Linked DNA regions of Danio rerio. The protein of the gene in region 1 purifies or fractionates together with the protein of each later gene. This does not show direct contact. Links are inferred from orthologs where the notes say so. Each region holds a gene or a part of one and is shown on either strand. Other genes may lie near its edges.

What was found.
Region 2: the proteins of sgsh (region 1) and sumf1 purify together in Homo sapiens (co-immunoprecipitation; 3 studies listed by BioGRID and IntAct, with this or other methods). This does not show direct contact. The link is inferred for Danio rerio from reciprocal best matches to the Homo sapiens genes SGSH and SUMF1.

The regions. Positions count from the first base shown.
Region 1 is NC_133197.1:11,183,185-11,186,212, forward strand, and holds the end of sgsh (N-sulphoglucosamine sulphohydrolase precursor), read left to right. Parts: intron 1-1,836; coding exon 1,837-2,396; 3' UTR 2,397-2,516; downstream 2,517-3,028. UniProt on the Homo sapiens protein: Catalyzes a step in lysosomal heparan sulfate degradation.
Region 2 is NC_133181.1:42,468,794-42,472,866, reverse strand, and holds the start of sumf1 (formylglycine-generating enzyme precursor), read left to right. Parts: upstream 1-1,264; 5' UTR 1,265-1,468; coding exon 1,469-1,735; intron 1,736-2,270; coding exon 2,271-2,444; intron 2,445-2,615; coding exon 2,616-2,690; intron 2,691-3,717; coding exon 3,718-3,800; intron 3,801-4,073.

The DNA of each region.
Region 1 (3,028 bases):
ACCAATCGCAAGTTGTTCGTGCAAAATCTTAAATGTTGACCCTCTTTATTGCATATTTTCACACATGATTCTACATCTGATCTCTACTCTTATTTACTGATTTATTTGTCAATGTAACATTTCCTAGATGCATAAATTGTAAGCCGTTTGTGTGATGTAAAAAATTCTGTTCCTCACTATTTGGCTTTTTTGCACTTGATTTTATATTTTAACTCTTATTTTCTACTGTAAAAAATGTTTTATTTATATTAATCGTAAAATAGCGTCTTCACATTTTCACACTTGATTTTAGATTTTATCTCATAATTTATTTACTTGCATAATTTTGCCAATGTAACTACATTATCTCTCTGTAAAAATAGTAAATTGTTTGTACGATTATAAAAAATGGTGTCTCACTATTTTGCGCTTGATCCCTTTTTATTGACATAGTTATGCGAATGACAACATTTTCTTGTTATACGATTCATACATTTTTTGTACAACATAACAAAATGCCATCTTTGCTATTTCGCAATTTCAGACTTGATTCTATCTAGATCTCCAATCTTTTATTTACTGTCAGTTTTGGCAATGTGACTACATTTTCTCACTTTTCGAATCAATAATTGTTCGTACAATACTTTTATCGCACAGTAATGAAAAATGTTTTCCCATGCTATTCGAACTAATTGTAAAATGGTGCCTTCGCATTTTCACATCTCTTATTTTATTTACTCACACACTTTCGCCAATGTAAGTATATTTTCTCTCTGCACAAATCGTAAATTGTTTGTACGATATGAACGCTATTTTGCAGTTTTGCACTTGATTCTATTTTTTCTATATATTTATTATATAGAAATTAATTTATTTGATCTCTATTATTGCATTTATTGGCATTGTTTTGCCAATGTTGATCACATTTTCTTACCGTACAAATTATAAATTGTTTGTGCGATATGAAAAAAAGTGAGTTCTCACTATTTCGCATTTTTGCACTTGATTCTGTTTTATCTTCTATCTTATTTACTTGCATAGTTTTGCCAACATAACTACATTTTCTTTCAGTACGAGTTGTTCGTAAGTTCGAATTGTTTCAGTACACATCGTAAATTGTTCGCACGATTAAAAAAATTGCATCATTCGCTATTTTGCTTTTTTGAGCTTGATCCCTTTTTATTAGCACAGTTTTGCGAATGTGATTCGAATGTGATTCAATGAACACATTTTCTTTGTACAAATCTTAAATTGTTCATGCGATATTAAAAAAATGGCATCTTCGCTATTTCGCAAGGTTACACTTTTGTATTTTATCTTTTTTTCTGACATAGTTTTGCCAATGTAACCAAATTTTCTTGCTGTACGAGTCATTAATTGTTCGTACGACATAATAAAAATGGCATCTTCGCTGTTTCACATTTTTGCACTTGATTCTATATTCTATCTCTAATCTTTTGTTTAGATACTGTACATTGTTCGCACGATAATAAGAAAATGGTTTCCTGCGCTATTTGATCTAATTGTAAAATTCTCTTCACATTTTTGTACTTGATTCTTTATTTTATCTCTAAACTTTTATTTACTCGCATAGTTCTGCCAATGTGACCACATTTTCTTTCCCTGTAAATCGACAAAACGATAAAAAAAATGGCATCTTCGCTATTTTGCATTTTTTTTGCGCTTGATTCAATATTTTTTCTTTAATCTTTTATTTACTCAGATGGTTTTGCCAATGTTGATCACACTTTCTTTCTGTAAAAATGATAAATTATTCATACAATATAAAAAAAAATGGAATCCTAAATTGTTCGTAGGATGTTAAAAAAATGTCGTCCCTCACTATTGTTTCCGCAGACATCACTCCTACAATTCTGGACTGGTTCTCTTTGCCGTACCCATCCTACAGTCTCTCCATGTCGCAACCTGTGGAGTTGACGGGTCGCTCTCTCCTCCCAGCCCTGATCTCAGAGCCATCCTGGGACACCGTCTTCTCCAGCCAGAGTCTCCACGAGGTCACCATGTTTTACCCTATGCGCTCCATCCACAAGGGCCCCTACCGGCTCCTCCATAACCTGCACTACCGCATGCCTTTCCCCATAGACCAGGACTTCTACATCTCTCCAACCTTCCAGGACCTGTTAAACCGCACTCAGTCAGGACGACCCACAGGCTGGTTTAAGACGCTAAATGAGTATTACTACCGGCAGCGATGGGAGCTGTTTGACGTCCGGACTGATCCGATGGAGAAGGTGAATCTGGCTGGTGATCTGGATTATTCAGAGGTTCTGGAGAGCCTGAAGGATCTGCTATTAAAGTGGCAGTGGAGGACGGAAGACCCCTGGGTTTGTGAACCTGATGCAGTTTTGGAGGCCAAATTGGAGCCGGAGTGCAGACCGCTATACAACGGACTATGATTTTACAGACTCATGAACTTCTTATGATTCAGGTTTTACTTGTTCTGAAGAATGTATTTGTAGATTTTTTTATTGAAATGTTAATAAAAGGTCTGAATAAAAACAAAAACATGACGTCAATATGAGCTAGATTTGTTTTGTTTGGATATATCTGAAACTGTGGTACTACAGTAGTGCGTTTGATTCACTATAGATTGCTAAAAAGGCAGTAAAGCTTCATATAATGTTTTCACTGCCCTGCATAAATGTTGTCAATCAATGTTATTTAATTACTGTCATTATTAATTATTTCAGTTTAATTTTATTACAAATATCTAAATCTAATCTAAATTAATATACAATTATTAGCATAATCATTTTAAATACTTAACAACAACAATGAAACTAATAATAATAGTATAAAAATGATATACAGAAAGCATATAATTACTATTTTAAAAGCATCAAATTGCAACATTTTAGTAATAATGCAAAGATATACCTAAGCAGTATGATTTGAATTTGATGATAACAACTGTTATTATTTAAATAATTAAAATATATAATAACAATAAAGAAGTATTAATATATTATAGTATATACATGTTTTTAAAATAACACTGAATTTGTAATATGTATCTTATTATTATTAA
Region 2 (4,073 bases), on another chromosome or scaffold:
AAAAGAGATAACTAAAGAGATAGTTCATCCAAAATAAATAAAAACTCTGTCGTCATTTCCTGCACACCTTACACTAGTTTTAAAACTGTAGCAGTCTGTCTTTCTTCTACTGAACACAAGAGAAGATATTTTAAATATTTTTGAATATTGGCAACCAAACCATTGATGGTGCAGTCCACATTTACTGCTGTATTGTTTATATTTTTTGCCCTATATAGTAGTCAGCGGGGTCAATCAACTTTTTGGTTTTATTCTTCAAAATGTTATAATTTTGTATTTAGCAAAAAGAAAGAAAATAAAACTCATCCAAGTTTGAAACAACTTGGGGATGAGTAAATAGTGTGCACATTTTCAGTTTTGAGAGAACTACCCCTTTAATATAAAATACAGTCTGTCATAAATAATACTTTAAAATGTATGAATGAATTGAATGCACAATTAACAATAAGAAAAACAAACTTCTTACAATAAATATTAATGTGTGTCTAAAAAATGTATGTCTTGAACAGAGGCGAACTTAATCAATAAGCGAGGTAAGCAGCCGCTTAGGGTCCAGGGGAAGTAGGGGACTCCAACCAATGACGAGAAGCCTATTAATCATATAGGTCCTTTATACATTTTCTATCATATGTTGTGAAATCTTTCTATAACCATAAAAGATTTTAATTGTATTACTTCATTTCAAAACCAGGGGCTCACATGAATATGGAACGTTCCATCAATACCACACATGCAAATATTGAAATCTAACCACAAACATGGCTAATTAACTGTACATGCTTGTTTTTATTTGTGGATTTATCTTTACATTAAGAAAATAAAGATTGCAAATAATTTTTTTTTACAAAACAACCACAACAACAAAACAAATCTACAGAGAAAAAATATCTATAGAGAAAGAGAATGCTTTGAGTTTCAATGCTTGGGCCCCCTACCTGGATATGCTTAGAGCCCCCGAATCGCGCAATATGCTAATCAGATTCTCCCAGTGTAAATTTTAATGTGGAGTAGTGTGCTATGAAGCTGTAATATCGCCCTAATTCCTAACCCTAACCTCAGAACCATTCAAATACAGCGTTGGTAGCATAATCTGATGAGTAGGATAAAATGTCAGAACACCTGCCCCTGGTCCTGAAGATGTGGACCTGTGTTTCTCAACTGCACTTCCACAGACTCCTCCTGGCGCGCTCACGACAATGTGGACGAGCACAAACAGCGACCTCTAGTCACAGATTCCTGCATTTCTTTTCAGAACTGAACAAATAATTAATTGTGTGACTAAAGCAAACGCTACACGCTAGCAGAGTTGCTGAGATAAATGCAGATGCATATCTTTAAACCCGTTAAATTGAGTAAAGTGAAGTAGCCTACTCTAGTGTGAGTGTCTGCTCTGCTCCTACACACGTGTCAGCTGACTGATCACCTGACCGTTTTCGGACGTGCGGATCAACATGACGAGCTGAGGCTCATGGCTATGGCACCGGTGTTGAATATTTGCGTGGTTTTATTTTTTAGTATTTTAGCAGTGAGTTGCGATGTAGGCGATATTGTGCAGGAGCAGAGGTCGGAGTCCCCGGAGTCGCAAGGCACAGATTGTGGTTGTCAGGGACTGAAGAGAGAAGTTTCTGTTGGTGTAAGCGATGTAAACACACTGGATCATCACGATGATGCAAATATTTACTCCAAAACAGCGAACGAGGGTCCAGACAAGACTGAGTCTGATGTACGCAGTAAGGTATGTTTGCTGTTGTCACTTTTGACGAGTAGCTAGTGTTGTTTAGTTTGGTCATTTACTGTCTTCTGTGAGCAAAAAATAAATAAATAGTAAGAGCTCACTTTTCAGTTGAATTCATTTCAGAAATTAGCAGTTAATCAGAGTAAATTGTTCATTTTATTTTATTGTTGTTTCATGATGTTTTCATCTGTGAATCTTCAAAAATGAAAGAAAACCAATGCAAAAGTAATTATTTAGATTTAAAACTTGACATTTAGGTTGACATCTGTGGTCATAATCATTACGTTATATGAACATGAACAACATGTTAATTCTGACTTTATTAGGCAGGGAAGAAATAATGTTATATAATAAAAGGAAGTGATGATGAAAACACATTTTTTAATAAACTATTGACTTGTACATAAAAGCTGAATGGTGTGTGTGTGTGTATGTATGTATGTGTGTGTGTGTGTGTGTGTGTGTGTGTGTGTGTGTGTGTGTGTGTGTGTTTGTGTGTGTGTGTGTGTGTGTGTGTGTGTGTGTGTGTGTGTAGCTGGTGCTGCTGCAGGGAGGTTGGTTTTTGATGGGAACAGATGATCCAGGAATACCACAGGATGGAGAAGGACCTCAGAGGAAAGTGAAGCTGGATGCTTTTTACATTGAAGAGCATGAAGTCACAAACCAGCAGTTCCAGCACTTCACCAACCAGACCGGTTACATAACGGAGGTAAATAACCCTTTACACGGCTATACGACAAATTATCAGTACACCAACTCTCTCTCAATATTATATATATATATATATATATATATATATATATATATATATATATATATATATATATATATTTTTTTTTTTTATTTTTTATTTTTTTTTTATGATTATTTTTTTATCTAGGCTGAGCGTTTTGGAGATTCCTTTGTTTTTGAGGGACTGTTGAGTGAAGAAGTGAAGAGCACACTGTCACATGCGGTGAGAAATGTGTACACATGCAATAATGACCCACTGCTTGCTGCTGGATAAATTGTATACTGTGTGGATCAAAGAAGAAATGAATTCAAACATCAGATATTTCAAATGTAAAACAGCTTTGCATTGAGTTTTTTTCCCTCTGTGCAGAATACGTCCTGTTTATTTAGTGTATTTTAACTAAGCAAAACAATTTTCCACAATACACCTTCCAAATGTCATTCATTGTCATAGTTTACATAACAAATAATCTTGTCAAGCAAATTTAATCAAGAAACATTTGGTGACATTAAAATACTCTATTTAAAGTAGATTTGTGTACTTTAAAGAAAATAACGTTGAATAAAAGGTAATGATGACTAATTAAATAACATAAAACATACACATTTGTTACATTTCTATAGTTTACACCTAAAAACTTAATTCTGTTTGCCAATAGTACTCTATTTATTTTTCAAGTGTATATAAACATAAAGGCCATTACAAAAGGTCCCAGAATGATGAAGAGAAAAGAGAAATGTCTAATTAAAATGTAAACTATCTGTATAAATTAAATTAAGTGGGACCAGGGAAGACTATCTTGGAAATAACCAATATACTGTAAAGTCGCAGTGTTGCATAAAAAGTAAGATATTAAAATTTGAAGCCTATCTTACTCTTAAAAAAAAAAGTTACAATGCAAAAATACTTGCACATTACTTTCCTTAAAAAGTAGCTTAGTATCTTATTATGCTGGAAATCCTCCACACCTCCACAGGTCTTGGGGTAGGATTTGGGTAAAAACAAAAAGAAATTAGAAAGAAGGAAACTAATGTTTATTGTTGTATTACTGTATATGGTAATGTTACTTTCCTTCATTTAGTGTCACACTTAGCTACTTTTTTTTAAGTGACTTTAGATTGCTGCATGAGCTCTTCTTTCATAAAGAGGTTAATTTCCAAATATAGCCAAGAATAGACCAAATGTGCATTTATAAAAAAAAAACAAAAAAAAAACAAAGCTGCACTACAGTGTCTGTGTGTGTCAGTAGGTGGCTGCTGCTCCTTGGTGGTCACCAGTGAAAGGTGCAGACTGGAGACACCCAGAAGGACCAGATTCAACCATACACAACAGGTAAACGCATAGAAATGAGCAAGCAGTAATTATTCTGTATAATCAGATGATGTTTATTAGAGCTGCACAATATATCGTTTCAGCATCGATATTGCAGTGTGTGCATTCGCAGTAGTCACATCGCAGCATCTGCAATATGGAGTTGGGACTATTATTGTTGATCAGCAATGAAGATTGTACAGTGTTTACATTTTACATTACATTTAATAATAGAGGCAGACCAAAATAGCGATATGCATGAGGTGGCGCTTCTTGTAATGGTGGATTGAAGTG